Yarrowia lipolytica: one gene and its partners. The protein of the gene in region 2 interacts with the protein of the main gene of each other region in a biochemical or structural test. Links are inferred from orthologs where the notes say so. Each region holds a gene or a part of one and is shown on either strand. Other genes may lie near its edges.

The links.
Region 1: the proteins of YALI1_B09894g (region 2) and YALI1_F32512g form a complex in vitro, tested with the Saccharomyces cerevisiae proteins (3 studies listed by BioGRID). The link is inferred for Yarrowia lipolytica from reciprocal best matches to the Saccharomyces cerevisiae genes CYC8 and CTI6.
Region 3: the proteins of YALI1_B09894g (region 2) and YALI1_A14345g form a complex in vitro, tested with the Saccharomyces cerevisiae proteins (6 studies listed by BioGRID). The link is inferred for Yarrowia lipolytica from reciprocal best matches to the Saccharomyces cerevisiae genes CYC8 and TUP1.

Annotation. Positions count from the first base shown.
Region 1 is NC_090775.1:3,248,223-3,254,727, forward strand, and holds YALI1_F32512g (uncharacterized protein), read left to right. Parts: upstream 1-2,989; coding exon 2,990-4,555; downstream 4,556-6,505. Other genes in the region: YALI1_F32476g (uncharacterized protein), read left to right, coding at 1-1,224; YALI1_F32498g (uncharacterized protein), read left to right, coding at 1,629-2,765; YALI1_F32534g (uncharacterized protein), read left to right, coding at 5,273-5,797; YALI1_F32546g (uncharacterized protein), read right to left, coding at 5,933-6,401, 6,454-6,464. UniProt on the Saccharomyces cerevisiae protein: Component of the RPD3C(L) histone deacetylase complex (HDAC). Responsible for the deacetylation of lysine residues on the N-terminal part of the core histones (H2A, H2B, H3 and H4).
Region 2 is NC_090771.1:986,026-993,617, forward strand, and holds YALI1_B09894g (uncharacterized protein), read left to right. Parts: upstream 1-3,423; coding exon 3,424-6,081; downstream 6,082-7,592. Other genes in the region: YALI1_B09837g (uncharacterized protein), read left to right, coding at 1-634; YALI1_B09871g (uncharacterized protein), read left to right, coding at 1,158-1,655; YALI1_B09929g (uncharacterized protein), read right to left, coding at 6,712-6,900, 6,944-7,009; YALI1_B09931g (uncharacterized protein), read left to right, coding at 7,097-7,106, 7,155-7,405. UniProt on the Saccharomyces cerevisiae protein: Acts as a component of the CYC8-TUP1 corepressor complex which is involved in the repression of many genes in a wide variety of physiological processes including heme-regulated and catabolite repressed genes.
Region 3 is NC_090770.1:1,431,458-1,438,297, reverse strand, and holds YALI1_A14345g (uncharacterized protein), read right to left. Parts: upstream 3,787-6,840; coding exon 1,843-3,786; downstream 1-1,842. Other genes in the region: YALI1_A14377g (uncharacterized protein), read right to left, coding at 133-609; YALI1_A14368g (uncharacterized protein), read right to left, coding at 739-1,437; YALI1_A14305g (uncharacterized protein), read right to left, coding at 6,468-6,840. UniProt on the Saccharomyces cerevisiae protein: Acts as a component of the CYC8-TUP1 corepressor complex which is involved in the repression of many genes in a wide variety of physiological processes including heme-regulated and catabolite repressed genes.

The DNA of each region.
Region 1 (6,505 bases), on a different chromosome or scaffold from region 2:
CACAAGCAGGCCGAATGCCAGTACCTCGAGGCTGATGCTACCAAGATTGACCACGAGAAGCGAATTGTGACCATCCGATCCGCCGTCTCTGAGAACTCCAAGGAGGAGGTCATCAAGGAGATCCCCTTCGACTATCTTGTTGTCGGTGTTGGCGCCATGTCCTCCACCTTTGGTATCCCCGGTGTCCAGGAGAACGCTTGCTTCCTCAAGGAGATCCCCGACGCCCAGCAGATTCGACGAACCCTCATGGATTGCATTGAGAAGGCCCAATTCGAGAAGGACCCTGAGGTCCGAAAGCGACTTCTGCACACTGTCGTTGTTGGAGGTGGCCCTACCGGTGTCGAGTTCGCTGCCGAGCTCCAGGACTTCTTCGAGGACGATCTCCGAAAGTGGATCCCCGATATCCGAGACGATTTCAAGGTTACTCTTGTCGAGGCTCTCCCCAACGTTCTGCCCTCTTTCTCCAAGAAGCTCATTGACTACACCGAGAAAACCTTCTCTGACGAGAAGATCTCCATTCTGACCAAGACCATGGTTAAGTCTGTTGACGAGAATGTGATCCGAGCCGAGCAGACCAAGGGTGACGGTACTAAGGAGACCCTTGAGATGCCTTACGGAACTCTTGTGTGGGCCACCGGTAACACTGTGCGACCTGTTGTTCGAGAGCTCATGTCCAAGATCCCTGCTCAGAAGGGCTCCCGACGAGGTCTTCTTGTCAACGAGTACCTTGTTGTTGAGGGTACCGAGGGCATCTGGGCTCTTGGTGACTGTTCTGCCACCAAGTACGCACCCACTGCCCAGGTTGCCTCCCAGGAGGGATCCTACCTTGCTAACCTGCTCAACGGCATTGCTAAGACCGAGGACCTCAACAACGAGATCACCAACCTCGAGAAGCAGTCGGAGCACACCTTTGACGAGCAGGAGCGAAAGAACATCTTTGCTCAACTCGAGTCCAAGTCCCGAAAGCTGCGACGATCCAGAGCCATGCTGCCCTTCGAGTACTCTCACCAGGGTTCTCTGGCCTACATTGGTTCCGACCGAGCCGTTGCCGACCTGTCCTTCAACTTCTGGGGTATCATGAACTGGTCTTCCGGAGGAACCATGACCTACTACTTCTGGCGATCCGCCTACGTGTCCATGTGCTTCTCCATGCGAAACAAGATTCTTGTTTGCATTGATTGGATGAAGGTCCGAGTCTTCGGCCGTGATATCTCTCGAGAATAAGCGCATAAACCTATACAATAAATTTTAGATTGACAGTACAACTGAGGGCTGTAATGAGTAAGAGTGGTATCACTTGGTTGTATTTGACGGAACAGTTGTATACAATTATAAAGAGTTGCAGCTTCTCCATCTGCAGTATTGCTGTAAGCATGTTTGTGGAAGGTTTCATACTGAACAGAATCCCTCGTATAAGTGAACCCCAAAGCCAATGTTTTAGAGGCATTGAGACATAAGACTGCATGTTTCTTTTTGCTCATTTCACTTCTATATTTCTTTTTTGTGTCTGCCACTTCTGTATAATTCATTTCAATCAACACAATAGAGTTCCATAAGGCGTGTGGTGCATATTGTCAACTGTGGATACCTGTTCGTACAATACGTGAACATACTAACACACACCACAAATGATCACGAAAAGGCTACTGCGGTTCCTGCTGGGGCCTAGTTTTGCCACCAATGAGAATACAGAAACAGAATCTCTTGCTCTCAACCACGAATTGCTCAACGCCAAACACAAGATTCTCAACAGCTATGGACGGTCTTCCCTGGAGGCCGAGAAGATTGTACCTCCTCCTACTTCAGCCGCTGATCTGGACGCTCTGCTTGATCCTGCCGAATCAAACGACTATGTCGACAAGTGGATGCGAGCCTGGGAACTCGGTATTATCCCTGAGGGGATTGTTAGAGGTATAGAGATGATGGGCATGTGGCCCCTGGAGGTATCTTGGGCTAGATACCACACAATTGGCAGATCCGGAGGACAAACATACTGGCAACTACTGAAGGGAACTATCCACAGCGGCAATCCGTTCCCCGGATTCATGGCTTCCCTGGCGCAGAGTATGGTGGAGGAAGCTATCTCAGACCAACCGGACGCAGGCTCGTATACGTGGGAGAACGGGACCATGGTCAAAAGCGAACACAAAATCAACATCATAAGCGTGCTCAAGGGCAACCACACAATGGCTGAAATCATCCCCTTTGCCCTGAAACACTTCACGGCCTGCATCATGTCATTCCCCTTCTTCTACTACTCCTCCATGCAGATTTTGGGGGTGTACAACAACGTCGACACCCCCAACAACTCGCCCTGGGGCCCGTCTATTGCCTGGCTGCAGAATTTCTACAACCCCTGGACTCCAGCTCTACCCAATGTCGGAGTCATGGCCGTCTGGCATGTATCCAACTACTTTCTTGGTCTGGTGGGTCGAACGCATCTGGCTGAAATCAACAAGTCTCACGGACAAATGGGACCCGAAGTGGCCCATCATATGCCTCCATTTGCGGTTTTATATGAGAACTTCCTTCGATCATCCTTCATCATGAGATGCATGACTTCCAATCTGTTTGGTTTCTTCTTTTTCCGGTTTGCTGTCGGCAAATCTTTTGGGGATGACCTGCAGATTGATTTCCCAGATCTCTGCGGCGCTATTGCTGTTGATACCGTGGTTAGATGTGGTATCAACCACTTGTACATTCTGTCCACCTGGATTATTGAGAGATCTGTTTACGGGGCTGACACAGAGGAGGAGGAGACGTAAATGTACATAGGTCTACATCGCTACATAGTTGCATTATTTATTTGGTATTCAAGAAAGAGAGACATTTTTTTCCCCTTTGAACTGGTGTGCTCGTTTGTTGCATTTGTACATCAGGAAACGCGTTTCCCTTCGTCATTCCACATTTTAAAACATCACACTCTTATCCTTAATGACCATCCTAAACGGTACATGTTGCTTAATAATCAAACCCTAATAACAAGAATATGCATGGCTGGACTCCCCGGCCAAATTCGTCCAGTACACATCTTTTACACCAGCAACAACCAAACACAATGTCCGCTCGACGCTCGAGACGCAATTTTGATGACGACACGGTGGAAGCGTCCAGTGACAGCGAAGGCAAAAAGCGCAAGTCACGGGCCGCCGACAAAGCAGCAGCCGTACCTGAAGAGGATGAGGAGGTCGAGGACTCGGATGGACTGGTGGAGTCCGAGGAGGTTACACGGTGCATTTGTGGCCACGAAGAGTTGCATCTGGACCGGGCTGCCAAGGCTCTGGAAATTGATCAGGGTCTGTTTATCCAGTGTGATTCTTGCTCTGTGTGGCAGCATGGCTACTGTGTGGGCATGTACCAGGAGTCTGAAGTTCCCGATGTCTATTACTGTGAGAAATGCCGACCCGACCTCCATCAGATTTTCCTACGGCCAAGCGGCCAGACGTCCATCTACAACAAGTCTGCCGACGACGATGAAGACGAAGAAAACGAGGATGGCAACGATGAAGGCAATGGTAGCCGGGCTTCGGTCAAAGAAGAAGAGCTCCTCCCGCCAAAGCGTCAGCGCAGCAGCCGAGCGTCTTCTTCGACAGCCTCAGACAGCGGCACTGGTGCAACACGCGAGTCTGCCCGCGACCCTCCCCGAAGCAATGGAGAGGAGCCTGCAGCTGCTAGTGGCCCCAGACAACAGTCCGGGTCCACCCCCGAGCAGGGAGGAAAGCGAGGTACGGGTAGAAGTCGACGTCCCGATTCTGCTGCTTCTGCCGCTGGCTCTGCTGATGATGGCTCTGAAGACATCTCTGACGCAACTGGCGAGGCAGGCCGTGACTCAACTCGCAGCAGACGCAATTCGAGCTCTCGTCGTGAGATAACCACCTCGTCGCGACGTCGCAACAGAGACACATATGAGGAGACTCTCAAGCGGGTGCTTCAGGAGAGCGCCCGCGAAGCAGGCAAGGACAAGGAGGTCAAAGAGGAAACCACAACGAGCAAGAACTCTACGACCAACAACAATAACGCCACAGCCAACAACAGCAGCAGTAGCAAAAAGTCATCGCCTGAGACTACTGGCACTGCTTCTGGAGCAGCAGCTGCAACAAATGGAACAACCAACGGGTCAGCAGCAGCCTCGGGAACGTCGGAAACGCCGAAGCGGAAACGCGAACAGGAACTCCAGGCAAAGTCGGATATGGACGGCAGCGACTCGATGGACTCGCCTGTGGCCAAGGCCCGGAAAAAGCGCAAGACAAAGACGTCGGTGGGTGCTGGAGGAGCAGCCAACTCGCCGAAGCCGAAGGAGACACCCGAATACAATGACGAGCGGCCATCCAAGCCACGGGTACCTCATTCACGAACTACAATGAGCGAGATGCGACGACGGGTAGCTGCGATACTGGAATTTATTGGCCGCACACAGATGGACATGGCCAGTGACCAGAACAAGATTGGAGATCAGGTGGTGCTTAGCTCCACCTCTGCAGATATGATGGATGGACTAACTCGCAAGCTGCTTCTGTGGGAACAGGAGTACGGTAGATATGGCGAGCGAAGGTGATTAACAGAATATACTTAATTTATTGTATCATTATTATTTAAAGGTATTTTGCCGTCGGAATAGCCGCTCCGCAAAAACCGTTGCACGTTGTGTGAGAGGAAACCTATTACAGGTAACAATTGGGGATGTGTCTCAATTTTGGGTATTGCGATAAGCTAATTGTAGCGGTTACTACCTGATCTACAATGTAGCTTAGTGTCGGTTATCGATCTCTATATTCGTATATTAGATGCCAAGAACAAGAAGAATAATGTATGAAGTAGACATGTCATTTCGCTTAGGTGGTGCTGTGAGCCTTTGCGGGGGCCACTACAAATAATAGGGAAGTTTTGTATGCGTCTGCCATGTGCATTGCTCCGCTACTATTCACTTCAACATTCGACGCGTTTCTACAGTCATGGATGTGAGAGTGGCTGGGTTTATATTACGAAAAGGCTCCAATATGTTGAAACATTTAGTACAAGTACCTGTAGCTTGTTTTCTACTTCTCCCCATTTCTCCATCCCTCCAAGAACACTCCACATCAAGCAATTAGCCGTTGGGAAAGCCGAAAGTACAAGTAAGGTAAGTTGACTTGAACTACAGGTACAGTATTAGCTGCCTCTAGGCTCTCTTATTTCTCCACCCAAACGCGCACACCATCGTTCATACCGACTTTGACAAACGTCATTGTTCTTACACATACACATACAACATTCACCTTCTGAATTACACACAATGGTCCATGCCGATTACTCTCGATTCTCGTCGGAATCAAAGTCCGAATTGTACGACACCATGGCCTCCAATGTGGAAGCTCTAGTTGATGGTCAGACCAATTGGGTGGCTAATCTTTCCAATGCCTCGTCGATCATCTGGCACGGTCTCAAATCGCTCCCCGAGCCATCCAGCGACATCAACTGGGCCGGCTTCTACGTGATTGATCCTAAGAAGTCTGAACAGCTGATTTTGGGACCTTTCCATGGTCAGGTTGCATGTCAGGAGATCCCTCTGGGCAAGGGAGTGTGTGGAGTTGCTGCCAAGGAGCAGAAGACCCAACTGGTCAAGAATGTGGAGGAGTTTCCCGGGCACATTGCATGCGACGGAGTCACCAAGAGCGAGATTGTAGTTCCCATTGTGTTGAACGGTAAGCTCTTCGGTGTCATTGATATTGACTGTGCCAGTCTAGAGGGATTCGACGAGGTGGACCAGCAGGGACTGGAGAAGATTGCCTTGATTCTGGCGAAGTCTTGTGAGTGGTAGCGACCATTCAGATAAGTTATAATGTGTAGAAATCAATACGATACAGTGTCTCGTTGTATACATACAGTGCAGTCTATCAATACATAAATAAGTCCTAAATACTGGCTGGCCCAACCAGAAAGCAGTCCTCCACAATCATCTCACCCAAACAAAGAAGAAACACAGGAAAATGAAGGCGAAGAGACCGAGCCAGACTCTCCAGCCAATACCGCTGTTGTCGGCCATGATCATCATTCGCTTGAAGGTGCCCTTGAGTTTCGTGGATGCATTTTCAAAAGTGTCCTCCAGGTTGTTGAGCAGGTGGCTGGAGTCCCGGATCTCCACTCCGATCTTGCTGGTCACGTCCTTCAGCAGCTGCACCTTAGCAGACAGACCCTCCATTTGCTCGTCGTTCTGGGACTCCAACTGCGACAGCATCGACGTCGAGTACTGCTTGTGGCTTTTAGGATCGTACTCCTCCTGCTCGGGAACGTAGGGCTTGGCCTCTCCAAAGGACGAAGACGACCCGGCGTACGGCTGTGGAGGTTGAGGGGTGTTGATTCGAGAAGAAGCCTGGCTGGAGGCTGGTGATCCGTATTGTGCCGAGGAGGCAAAGAGTTGATGTCTGAGTTAGTTGCTGTGCACGGAAGAGAGCCTTCATCGCAATAGGTACTCACCTTGAGGTCATTGCTGTTTGTTGGTGCTGAGGTTCTTAGACTTTCACAAACC
Region 2 (7,592 bases):
GTTTGGAGGAGTGACGGTGTCGGGACGACTTTTTGCTGGCATGGTTCAGATTGACCAGCCAGTGGTTATTTCTCCCGGAAACCAGGTTGCGATTGTGCGTAATATCGGCGTGGATCTGGGCTCTAGAAACTTCGCCAAGGCTGGTGAAAATGTGAATCTTTCGCTGGAAGCTGTTGACGGCTGTGATTTGGAGCTGATCAAAGCGGGCGACATTTTGGCACAGTATTCCGACCCTGTGAGGCGTGGAAACAAGTTCCGAGCACGGGTGACTCTGTTTGACGTGGACCTTCCTGTTCTGAAGGGTACTCAGTGCGATTTCTACCGGTCTCGAGTCTCTTCTGTGGCTGTGTTTTCCAAGCTGTATTCCTTATTGGATAAGCAGGGTAACACCATCAAGGAGAAACCTCGGTTTGTGGACAAGGGCCAGACGGCGTTTGTGGAGCTCATCTTGTCGGACAATATTGCTCTGGAGCTCGAAAAGGAGAACAAGCATCTGTCGCGGTTTGTTTTGCGACGAGATGGAAAGACAATTGGATTTGGCAGTGTGGTCAAGGTGGCGAGGAACCCGGTGGACACTAGTCAGGTGGAGAAGATTCAGATTGGAGAGGATTTGGATGAGGATGAGGAGGATTAGATTAGCGGGACAAGTTAGCAAGGCGCCAGTCTTGTTGAGCAGGTCTACCAAGTCCGATATTGGGTCATGCCAGGAGTGTCATATTCCATGCGTGTTGTATCAAGTCTGGTTCTCTTCACCTACTAAGTCTAGTTCTCCTGGAGTTTGCAGCATTGGGCAGAACAGACTGATCTGCCTCATTTGATACACTACAACTAATCCGATCAAGTCCGATTCAGTCCGATCCAGTCCGATCCACTTGAGACTCCAGCAAGATACAATATATAGATAATTGAATGATTCACCTAGCAGCATCTGTAGGGCAGTGAATGTCGAAGATGCTGTACAGTATGTACGGGAGTACTGAGTGCGAACGACAGGCCGAGTCAAATACACGAGAGTGAGTATTTCTGGGGAGATGAGGCCGAAGTAAGGAGGTGGAGGTGCGGAGGTGGAGGTGCGGAGGTGGAGAGAGCGGAGGTGGAAAGAGCGGAGGTGGAGAGAGCGGAGGTGGAGATGAAGAGCAGCAGTCTTTGTTGGGATCATGTCTACAAGTAGTGATTGTCGACTTACCCAGTCACCCACTATGAGGCCATCTGAGCCAGACTCTTTTTCAGGGACTCGTCAGAACGGCAGGCTGACCAATTCATGCCTCGAGGCAACGGCAGATTCCAATTTTCTGACAGAGCGGAATTGGATCCATTGGTTCAATCTCGGAGCGTTTCAAAACACAACTGGTGTGGCTAATATAAGTCATAGACCATACTCGCGCCGTGCCAACCTTTGTACAGCCCGAATGAGTCGTCTGAATGAACCGCCAGCCCCTCCAGACCTTCACATTGAGCCTGTTACTCTAAAGTTTGGCATTTCTAACACGGGAGAGATGCGAGTGGAGCAGACTTTGACTGCTATGATCTTCGTGGTGCTCTCAGGTCGTCGTGGAGTCTTTCTGGGAGGTTTCAATTCATTATTGAGTGATCTAACTTGTTCTGGAGCATTTGGCACTCCTTCTGGGTTGTTCAAAATGATGCAAGTCTCCTGAAGTCGTCATTGGACATTCTGCAGTTGTCTAGACCCGTTCTAGAGTCTCCGGGTGGCCCGGGACTGGCCCTGCTCTAACTCTACAAGTAGTAGTCACTCTGGTCTCTCACCGACTCTAAACGTGGTGAAAAACTTGAGGTGCACAATGGAGAGCTGGGACAGTCGCTGACAGAATAGAGCCTGAGTGGATCTTCCCTCAGCCAAAGTTCCGTGGAGTGCGGCGCCAGACCCTACTGCAAATAGGGCTCAGAGCAGCCATGTCTGATGACTCAGACCACATTATCCAAATGCCAGAGACGGCCCAAGATATCCCGACCCCAGTCTTTCAATTAACCCTTCTTATTCCACCCGTATTCGTGCGGCCGAATTTCCCTCCAACTGGCCACGATTTCCATTTCTTATGTGCGAGGGTTTTCTTCCATATTTTTATTATTATTATTATTATTTATTATTATTATTATTCTATATTTAAATATTACTTCAAATAAGTATTATCAATATTATTTTATTATTATTTTATTCCTTTTCCCATTTTTTCATTTTCTATTTTAATAAAAATTTTTATTTATTTATTTATTTAAAAAAATCACACCCGACGACACTACAATAAATATCACCGACAACCCAACAGTAAAAACATTTCACCATTAAATACAGGAAATTAAGCCATCCATTCTCTATCAACACATCATCTGCTCCATCTTTTATCCCTTTTTCAAGCAACAACACCTCCACACCGCCGTTCACCAGATTAACTCGTACCCAGTTCACCATTATGCACGTGGGTGGATACGACGCGCCGCACATGAGTAATGGGGCAATACGCCACGTAAGCGCAAAATAAGATTGCCTAGTTACCCGGGGGGCCGTTGCAGTGGAAATAAAAATTGAGTTTGACCACCAGGGCAGGGGCAGGACGATAGTTGCGTAGAGGGTAATAAGATAAGACCAATGTGGCTGGTCACGTGACCCAACTCGAGCGGAATAAAATTATCGGGCCAGGGGTCGTTAGGATAAGTGTTATGTATTACATAATCTTCACTATCCTACTCATTTCCCACAACCCTAACCCTCCCAGGCACACCCTGTTTTCCCCGTTCCCCCAACTCAAATAAGGTTTTTCCGAGCCCGAAGTCTAAAAAGCCTCAACCACCACCCCCCCCGACCGACCAATCCAAAACCTAGCCCTAACCCTAATTCTAACCCTACTCCACCTCCTCCCTGCCCTGCTGCATTCAAACATCACCACTTGTTTTGGGCGACTTTTTACGACATCCCAATTCTGCCCGAACCCTTTGTTGGTGCGAAAGTGATTGTTTTGACGGTAAATTGCTGCTAGCTGCCGCCTTAGCGCCACCCCCGATTTTTCCGGCTCTCGATTCGACCTCGTGACACAGACAGCGAACAACGGACATAAAAGCCTGCGACACAAACGGCGCAAGAGACACAAAAACACAAGGCATTTTTTCGGACGCCGAATTCAAACGACCGCCACAAACGAGACACACACACACGCACACACGTGATTTTCGAGTCTGGATATCGCTCGCCTCTGTCACGTGATTGGTTGATTTTGGTGATTTTTTGGCTGACCGATTTTCGACAATTTTTGGTTGACGACTTGTTACTACTTTTGACGACTTCGACAAGGGCTTACTTTTTGGCAAGGACATTTCTCGTTGACGATTGATATTGACGAGATTGTTGATTGTGATTGCTGACTACTATTACGGTATTGCTGACTACTCCGACTACTCATTACTCTGACCATGACCCAACTACAAAAACTACAAACGGCGTCGATCGACACCTGGCTGGCGGTGGGCTCGCTGGCAGAGCTGCTCAACGAGTCGGAACGCGCCATCAACGCCTACGAGGCAGCGCTCTCCTACAACCCCTGCTCCATTCCCGCTCTGACCGCCATCGCCAACCTGTACCGGTCGATGGAACACTTCCCCAAGGCGGTGGAGTACTACCAGAACATCATCTCGCTGAGCTCGGACTCGGGCGAGACCCACGGCTCGCTGGGCCACTGTTATCTGATGATGGACGACCTGCACAAGGCCTACTCCGCCTACCAGCAGGCCCTGTACCATCTGCGGGACCCCAAGGACCCCAAGCTGTGGTACGGCATCGGCATTCTGTACGACCGGTACGGCTCGCTGGAGTACGCCGAAGAGGCGTTTTCGCAGGTGATGGAAATGGACCCGCACTTTGAGAAGGCCAACGAAATCTACTTCCGGCTTGGCATCATCTACAAGCAGCAGGCCAAGTACTCGCAGAGCCTCGACTGCTTCCGGTACATTCTGCACAACCCGCCTCGACCGCTGACCGAAATCGACATTTGGTTCCAGATTGGCCATGTCCATGAGCAGCAGAAGGACTTCCAGTTGGCGCGAGAAGCTTACGACCGCGTGCTGGTGGAAAACCCCAACCACGCTAAGGTTCTACAGCAACTCGGCTGGCTCCACCACCAGCAATCGTCCACCTTTGCCAACCAGGATGTGGCTATCAACTATCTGCTCAAGTCGCTGGACGCAGATCCCCTGGAGGCCCAGTCGTGGTATCTACTGGGCCGGTGCTACATGGCGCAGCAAAAGTACAACAAGGCGTACGAGGCCTATCAACGGGCCGTTTACCGCGACGGGCGCAACCCCACCTTTTGGTGCTCCATTGGCGTGCTCTATTACCAGATCAACCAGTACCGCGACGCTCTGGACGCCTACTCCCGCGCCATCCGCCTCAATCCCTACATTTCCGAGGTTTGGTACGATCTCGGCACGCTCTACGAGAGCTGCAACAACCAAGTCAACGACGCCATCGACGCCTATCAGAAGGCCGCCGAGCTGGACCCCCACAATCCCCACATCCAAGAGCGGTTGTTGCAGTTGCGATCGGGCCAGGGCCACAATGGCGCCGCCCCCGCCGGTCCTCCTCGACCCCAGGACGTCAATCCCCAGAGCTACAGCCATCACGGTCCTCCTGGCTGGGACGATGCCGCTGGAGGAGCCGCTGGAGCCAACGCTGCTGCCGGAGGAGCTGCCGGAGGAGCTGCCGGAACTCCTCAGGCTCCTCCTGGACTTGGACCTCCAGGACTGGCTCCCGGCGGGCCTCCCGGCGGGCTTTCCAACGCCTCTGGTCTTGGATCTGGGGCTCCTCCTCCTCTGGCAGCCTCTTCTGCGCCGCTGCCTCCTCCTAACGGTCTTCCGGCTGCTCAGACTGCGCCCAACACCGCCCAGACCGCCGCTCCCACGCCTCCGCAACCCGCTGCCGCTCTCCCACAGCTCGCCGGAATCTCCGAGATCCAGCAGCGCGTCTTGCCACAGATTGACTACGCCGAAAACGGCCACGGTCACCAGGGAGGCGAGAAGCGACCCGGCGAATGGGAGGACGAGCGCCGTTTCAAGCGCGTGGATGTTAATGGCGCCGCCACGCCCGCCAGCGGCAATAACACCCCCAATCTTGCTCCGGGTGGCCAGGCTAATGCCGTTGAGCGTGATATCGGCTCTTCGGGCGCTGGTTCGGGTGTTCCTGGAGCTCCCGGTGCTCCCGGTGCGCCTCCGGCCGCTCCTCCGGCTGTTGCCAACGCCGCCAATGCCGCTGGAACCACGCCTCTGCCTCCGCCCCCACCCACGGTGCCGCCGCCCGCGCCCCAGCACGTGCCGACGACCCAAGAGCTGCCACCAGTGCAGGACACGCCGACTCCCGCAGCGGTTGAGCCCAAGAAGGAGGAGCCGGACGTGCCCGTTGCGGTGCCTATTTCCGCGCCTGTTTCTGCGCCCGTTGCGGCGCCCACTGCCGCCGCCGCTGCCGCCGTGCCTCCTGCCGCGCCTCCTAGTGCACTTGCGCAGGCTCAGGAGCCAGAGAAGCCCGACGTTCAATCTGACGTTAAGTCTGACGCGAACGAGGTTAGCGACGTGAAGCCGGTTCAACCAGTGACGGCTCCTGTTTCGGCCGCATCTACGCCCAGCATTGCTCCTGCTCCTGGCCCAGCCGTTGCGAGTAGTGGCAATAGCGCTGGTAGCACCGGAAGCAATGCTAACAATGCTAACGTTGCTAACAGTGGCGCCACTGCCAACAACGGTGCTCCCGGTTCTGGTTCTGCTCCTGGTTCTGGTGCCCCCGCTGCCCCCGCTGCCTCCGCTGCTCCAGCACCTGCTCCTGCTCCTACTCCTGCTCCCGCCCCCTCCTCTCCTCCGCCGGAAGCGCCCCTGCGAAAGGTGGTAGAGGAGGAGGACTACGACGATGACGACGACGAGCCTAAAAAGGAGGACGCCAAGGTCGAGACCGCTACTGAGTCCGCCGCTCCCGCTGCTGCTGCTGCTGCTGCTCCGGCTCCGTCTGCTGCTGCTGCTCCGGCTCCAGCTGAGTCCAAGGATGACGACAAGAAGAATGAGGCCAAGGAGGAAAAATCCGAGGACAAGTAACTGTATTAGTAATGTAGATTAAGTGTATGATAGTTAAGAGCGGACTCGATCCATCTTGGTATATTCTGATGTGCTTGTGCTGAATGGAAATGACATGTTGATGGCGTTATGTCAGAAGAGTGTCCTGTGTAGCCATGTTGTAGCCATACTTGTCAAACGGGTCAAGAGGGGTCAAGAGCGGCCTCTTTGGAGTAGATATGTGAGCAAACAACCAACTGGAACCATCATCTTGAACGTTTTATAAGTGTTGTATCGGTTACTTATCCTTCTGGCGGTGAATGGGTGTTTGGTTAACATCGGACTGAGTGGATCTTTATTTGGCTGAGTGTCCGTTTTTCAGTGTACACAAGCACCAGAGCTGAATGGGTATGATATGTTGATTACGTTACTATCCTGTACAAGTTCTTGTTGTCTTCCTTGATTCTCTCACACTTGTCTCTGAGTCGCTGAGATGTGAGTCGGAGTAGGCAATAGATGTAGCAAAGTGGGTGTGAACTTCAACATGTCTCTACATCTACATCTCTACATCTACACAGTACCCGTCTTACAAAACCTGTGACAGCAGGTCTCGGTCTGCTCTTGATCATACAAGAATCATATATCCATGTAGGAGGCGTCTCGTGAACATTTTTATACAAAAATTGTCAACAAGTGCGGTGTTGTTTCGTCGTCATTCATGAATTGTTTCGCACAAGACTTTGTCCTAATCGGAGGGATGGGTTCAGTGAAGCACTCCGTTTGTTCACGTTGTACTTTGGAATTCTCCTGTTCTGTGGAGTCTGATTCTGTTTGCACAAGTTTAGTTGAAGGAAAACACCACTGGAGTGCCAATTCGGGTTTCCAGAAATGGTAGATGGAAGACAAGTAGATCAAGTGGAGTGGAAAGGAGCCTGTTGGACAATTGAGTGACTAGAATGTGCCATTTCATATCATGATTTGAAGTAATCGAGGTTTTTCTCAGATTTGTAATGACACATTTACTTAGGTTTTAGTTGGACTGCAAGATCTCCTGACGATGAAATCTTGTCCAGTTAAAGAGTTGCTTCTGGAGCCCATTGAGCAAGTCCGTTAAGTCAGTCCATTCGTCCAGGTCTACGAGAAAGGTTCATCTAGTGCGACACTTCCGTTATCAAACACAGCAATATTTCTCCCCTTTTCTGACGATTTTCACCCAAAAAAGGGGAGAAATCATGAGGAAGCAGATACCGAGACCGAGTTCTCAACCAGACCGAGTTCCGACACAGACATGGAGCTCTCGATCAGTATTGACTGCCTAGATGTCATTCGGAAACTCATCTTGTTCAGCAGTCGGATTCACCGGTGATACCTGAAAGGACAGAGGAAGGACGACTCCGCGACTCCGTAAACACGTTTCGGTGACAACATGGTTTCAACTCGCCTGGAACGTCATGGGGGGGGAGGGTCCTGGTAGTGTCACGTGATTCAATTCATTTCCCTCATGTGAGGAATGGTTCCACTGAGTCATATTGCGGCTCAGGATTTTTCGCGGA
Region 3 (6,840 bases), on a different chromosome or scaffold from region 2:
GGAGATGAAGAGTATTGAGAAGTAGGGTATCTTCGGAGAGTGGATTTCAGTGGATCAGTGAACGTTAGGTTTGGAGTTCTCCGATGTTTTGTTGGTTGTCGGAAGTATTTCCCAATATTACTGTTTTCGTTGTCAGTAGTAGCGGCTATTCTGGGTTAGTACGGAGTCGGCAGATGTATGGATGTGAGCAAGAAGGTGAATTAGGGTGAATAAGAGGTGAGTGATATCTTTCACGTTTTCCGACTGACGAATCTTGAAGTTCAATTGACCTGGTATATTGTACAAGTACAAGTACAAGTACTTGTAAAATAGTCGTTCCATGACGTGCTTGAACCTGCTCACTGACTGGAATTCTCTCTGCTCGGTTTGACGTGATCCAGTTATGTCCATCCAATTCAGAAGACATAAGATGTTATTGGTCAAAGAACAGGTTCGAGTGAAAATGGTGGAAGATTGAAACGAGGAGATGATGGAATTGATTTGAATTCTGGTCACTTTCGTGCTTGTGATTGTGCTCATATCTGTTCCTGTACTTGTAGAGAAGTAACAGGCCTTTGAAACATTCTGGATGAATGAACACTCAACTTGTCCATTACTTGTAGCTAACATACCTCAATCTAGTTCACAGATGCCTCATATACGCCCTGATAATGCGGTTTGGTGGACCCACACGTATGACCATGCCTCTTGAGAACGGCTCCTCCCACCACTGGCGAGGGTCCTATCACCACTGAAACACTACTCACGACAACCTCCGCCAAACCGCCTCACGGGCTCCTCCCGAATACTAGCGAGGGTCCCATTTGGCGGAGTGGAGACCAACATCATGTCGTAATGCATCTTCTCGATTTCGGCGTCCTTTTGATACAACAGGTTCGTGAGCTGCTCCAAAACCGCCTCCTGGTTCTCAATCACTACTCGCATCTCCTGCACCAGCTGATGGTGGAAGTCCGTGAGCATGTATTTTGGCGGCTGTTCTTCAAGGGCCTTTTTCTTCTCGTCTTCTCTGATGGCCTTGCGTCGTTTGCGTGCCGTGGGGCCAAACTTGTTGCGAATCTTGGCTGCCAGTCTGTCGGCCCGTGACGGGCCAATGTTCCACTTGCCGTACAGAATCTCGCGCTGGTGGCGGATCACGGGCCGGTTGGGGTTCTCGGGAGGCAGTCGCGCGTCGAGCTGCGGATCGTTGTGCACTTCAAGCAGCTCGTTGAGAGACATGACCTGCGGCGGCTGGTTGAGGCCCGAGTTGGACGGGTTGACGTTGGCCGCGTTGATGGTGGTGGCATTGGCCAGCGGGCTGGGTGGAGCTGCTGATCTCCGTGAGCCGTTGCCAACAAAGGTGCCGAGAGCATCAATAACATGGGGACCACGGGGAGCCGTGGAGCTATTGAGCAAACAAGGTCCAGAGCCATTCATGGTAAGTGGCGAATGAGTGGACATTAGAGAGAGGCTGGCGTTAGAGTAATCACAGACAAAAACCAAGAGAGCAGAAACCGAGCTGAGTTGAAAAGTGGGGACATTTTCAGCTCCACTTTTCGGCTCCACCCGGTATCTTCATTCACATGACCAAAACGTCAACACCAGCTGTCTGAAGAGGGTAAACATGAACGAGTACAAGTATACATAGCACGTTGATACCCCATCGTCAACAAGTACATACAGTATTGCACTCGCATATACTCCACCACTACAACTCCATGTTTGTCTAATAATAATACCACAAAATTTTATACACTACATAGCCCTGTCTTCCCTAGATTGCGTGCAAACGGAGCAGGCTTCATCCAGACATCTAATGTCTTTGTTAACTGCCAGACACCCGTCCGGCCTCGCGACCGCCCAGGATTATCTGTTGACAGGAAAGTATCGCCAGATTCGAGCCTTGCAATCTCCACTTCCAGTAGCAAACAACCCGCCCATGGGACTAGGAGCCACACTGATGACCGAATTTCGATGACCCTGCAGCATGAGTTGCACCTGGCCCGTTCGAGGGTCCCAGAATTGCACACCCCGGTCCTTGGAGCCGGAAAGAATCCACTGCCCATCCAGCGTGCTGGCCACACTCAGAACAAAGTCCTTGTGTCCACACAGCGTCTTGACGCAGACGCCTCCTCGCTGGTTGGCCTGAATGCCTCGAGGAGCCTGCAGCTCCCACAGCTTGATCGTCTTGTCCAGCGAGCCGGAAACAAGATCCATACCGTTGGGGGTGAAAGCTACACTATAGACGGAGTCCTTGTGTCCATCAGGGGCCTCCAGACGCTCAACCAGGAAACCGGTAGAGGTGTCCCAGATTCGCACAGACTTGTCCAAGCTGCCTGCAGCCACAAACTTGCCGTCGGGCGAGATGGCCACCGTGGTGACGCCGTCCTCGATCGACAGGGTTAGAGTACACTGGCCGCTCTCAATATCCCACATTCGGACTGTGCGGTCGCCAGAGCCAGAGGCAATGTGTCGGCCGTTTCGCGAAAAGTCCAGCGAGTAAATGTCCTGCTCGTGGCCAGTGAACACGTGCCGTATGCTCTGAGATTTAATGTCCCACACTCGGATCTGCTTGTCCTCGGCGCCGGTGGCCAGGTACTTACCGTCCGGCGAGAAACACACGGACCGGATGTACAGGTCGCCTTCTCGGTCGACCGAGTCGTCCTGCAGCCGGCAGATGAGCTGGCCAGTCTGCACGTCGAAAATCTGGGCAGATCGGTTACAGCCAGTGGCAATGTACTTGCCGTCAGCGGAGAACCGCACACAGCACACTACAGAGTTGTGGTCCAGCGACTGCACAATATCCACGTCCAGCAGCCGTGGTGCTCGCTGGTTGTAAACGACAAACCAGTCGGCCTTTTGTTTTTTGAGCTCCGGAGGTACCCGCTCAATGTCCATGTCGCCCAGGTAGTTGCCCATCTCTTCGGGGCTCTGTTGCTGCTGCTGGGGAGGTTGCTGCTGCTGTGGAGGGCCCTGCTGTTGCTGCTGCTGTTGCATCTCTTGGGGGGCCACCTGGGGAGACGCCTTGCCGGGAACGGGGGTCGACACCTGTCGCTTCTTGCTGTTGGGCGAGGCCATTGCGCTGATGACGGGGGGTCCGTTATGTGGCGAAGACGTGTAGCCGTTAGCACCCACGTAGCCGGAGTAGGGCTGGGGTTGACCAGGTTGGGGCTGACCAGGCTGGGGCTGACCGGGCTGTCCCTGCGGGGGAGCCAGAGAAGAGGTGCCGGGCTGACCGGACATGATGCCGCTGAACACGTTGGATGATGGACGCAGCAGCGACGGGGGCTGTCCTTGCGAAGGGGGCACACCACCCATGTGGTGGGCCTGGGCCTGGGCCTGCTGTTGAGCCTGGGCCTGCTGTTGGGCCAGAGCCTGCTGCTGGGCGGCCTGCTGCTGGGCGAGGGCCTGCTGCTGGGCTGCCTGTTGTTGCGCGGCCCGTGCTTGTTGGTCCTGTGCCTGCTGGTTCTGCTGCTGCTGTTGCTGCTGTTGCTGTTGCTGCTGTTGCTGCTGCTGGGAGTGTGCGGGGTTCGCAGCGGGTCCACCTCGGGCCTCCAGCTCGCTCTTGAGCCGCATGATTTCCTCCTCGTAGCGCTCCTTCATCTTTCGGTGCGCCATTTCTAGCTCGTAGACCGACTGTCGAATCTGGCCCAGATCTGACGTCTGCTGGTTCACCTTGACGTCAAACTCGTCCTTGTGCAGCCGGTAGACGGACGCCTCGTTGGTCACGGAGTCGAACTCCTGTTTGATGGCCTCCAGAAGCTCGTTGAGCCGTTGGCCCGGCGCTATTACTTGTTGGGGGAAGCTCATCTGGGTTAGTATTGTAGAGTCTGGTGTGACCTATGACCCAAGAGGCTGACGGGTGATGCAGATTCGATGATTCATGGATGGCAGAGATAAGGGCAGAGGCAAGGGCAGAGAAAGAGATGGCTAAAGATGGCGGAGGTAAGATGGCGATAAGATGGCGATAAGATGGCGATTAAAAATGGCGATAAGATGGACAACACAACTGCGGACACGTGTTAGGATGGACTCCAAGCGTCATTGTCCGACGATGACGCGTTCCAATCGCCAAGACGTGATGAATGCCCTCTTTTGGGTCTTGTGAACCCATCATCACCGATTACCCTTCACCACCACCACCACCACCATCCATCATCACCAATCATGCATCGCAGACGGCCATCATCCGACCTCCATCGCCATCATCCAACTCCATCGCCACCATCCAACTCCATCGCCAATCCATCCACGTGGCATTATCTCTGTGTCGTCATGTTCGGGTCTCGTGTTCCGTTCTGATGTCGTGTATCTTGTCGTGTCACGGGAAGCAAAAAACATTACAAGAAGGCCGGCTTGGGGCCGTTCGCCGGTGTCGGGGATTCTGCATCTGTGTGCGTCTCGTCATCGTCTGCGTCGACGCGCTCCGGTCTCGTACTCACCTGGTCCTATTGTACAACTCGTTGATGGCTCAAGCACAATTGCCAATTGTCGATGATACACCTGCAGCGCTGAAAATGAGTAGTGCTGTGTTGTGTGAGAAACAAGCTCCAAAGATGTAGTGCAAGGTCGGGTAATTCTAAAAGATGGCTGTCATGCCCCGTTGGGTTGGCGTGGGTTAGGGCCCAACCTTATTCTCACCATCGTCGAAAAACAAGTGGGGGGGACCCCAAGAGGGGGCACTCTGACGCTCAACCTTATTTAAGCTTTGTCCGTCTAAATAGAGTGATTTTTGAAATAGGCTCCGAAACTCTAAAGTTTAGAAGTGGCTACTGTATGACGTTGTCATGTTTCTCACGCTGGCAGTTTAGGGTAAGGGGTGGGATTAGAGTTCCCAGGTACTTGTATACGCCGAGTCTAAAATAAACGCCTAAAAGAGGTGGGAGATAATGTCCCAGCCAATGGCGGCCAAGAGTCCAAGATTGTCTGGCCTCTCCTGTAGAGCCCTAAACGCCACTTTTTATACCCTAACCCGCATGTGGTGATGCGGAAAGCTGGCGGAACTGGAGTGTTGGACATGTTGGAACTGTTGTGGCAAGACTTGAACGGGTGAGTCTGTGGAATAGGGGTGAGGGATGAGGGTCGATGCGCACGGAGCGCGCTAAGAGCGGTATTGTGGCTATGTTTGAGCAGGGGTGTTTGGGTGGGGTTTCGGAGATTAGGAGGAAGTTTTGATAGTTCGCCCGTGGGATATTTAGTAATTGGTGGAAATGGTGGAGGAAAACGGGGACAATAAAATGGGTGGGAAAAACCCAGCACAAGACGGATTGAACTGCCGTTCTGATTGATCCGATGTCATCAAGGGGGATTCCGAACTAACCGCGGTTCAAACCTCGCTAGGGTCATTATATGTGATGACTAAGTTTGTATTTTTCTTTTTATTCTTGGACATACATTGATTATATAATACGCCCTTCAAACTGTGCTTACTAAAAAGAATAAAAAAATAATAATAAAAAAAAAATAAAAAATAAAAACATAAAAAGATAATGTTTATCCGGTCTAGAAGGGAAATGAGAGGGTTATGGGAAGCACAATTGGAGAAGGGTTGTCATATGTTCTTCTGTAAAGCCCGAATCCGAGTCCATTCTACTGGTACTGTTTATCTTTGTTACAGGCTCAAGTACGAGTCTATTGAATTGTTGACTACCGTGAGTATGATTCTTGAAACATATTAAATCTACAGGAAACCTAAGTATACCAATTGACATTTAGTTAACTCTTACAACCTTGTCCAAGGACTCTAGTTCCATAGCAGTGCACATCAGGCTTGTTTGGAGTTCGTGATTAATATTCACAAGAGATCCCAGACCAGATAAATAACTCATAAATGATTGGAACCATCAGTCTAAGTACTGATCTCACTATAGTCAGAGGTCAGTACAAGTGCCAATGTTTCTATCTCAGAGTCTGGTTCCTAACACCAAGTGTTACGACAATACAAGTCCACTCCTGGGCTCTACAAGTACGATCGATATTCGACTATTACTACATGTAGAGGACTGTTTATGAGGTTTCTGTAGGTGTTTCTACCAAAAGAAACAATCCCGATGCCATAATAGACCCTAATGTCTGTTATCGTCGGTTATCACCTGTTCCACTCATTCGGGGAGGGAATTTATGGGTCAACCGTCGTATACTGTTTACAATACAAGTCCTTGTAATTCATTCATCAGTTGAAAAAGTGTTCTGCCCGTTTTGAATGCTACAATACCCAGTCCTGTCCAACTTGAATGTTACAATGTCGAGATCTGTTCAAGTTGAAGGCTTACTAACGAGTTTGTTGTTAGCAGCACAACTCCAGTTGTTTCATATATGACCAGCTATTTCTGATCTGAAACACACACCACCGTATTTGATTGCTCCTCACATACACCACCGTCAATAGGTCCTCTCCCCATACCCCACTGTCACTGATTGCTCTATACTGGACAAGGCAATCACACCACCAATTCCACCATATAAATATTATTTACAGGACGCCAATGCCGTCAATCTTCCCAATGTCCATACAGATACTTCCAGTCCTCAATCTCTTCCACATTGAGTCGTAGCTTCTCCTTGTGTAGCTTGACCGCCTGTCTTCCCAAACACAACCGAAGAGGAGGATTGGCACAATGAGCAGCCTCCCAAACGGTCGCGGCCACCAGATCAACAAAAGAAACCTCGGTGCTATCTCTGGGCACTGCCGGAGGCGGTTCCTCCGCTTTGCGCTTCTTGGGAACCACAGGCTCGTCTTCAACACGCGGCTTGGTGCAGGGCACATACGTCACGTGAGGTGGAATGGGTCGTTTTTCGCGCAGCTGCTGGGCAATAAGAAGCCCGTATATGGCTGCCGAGTCCGCGTATGCGGCTGGCAACTGC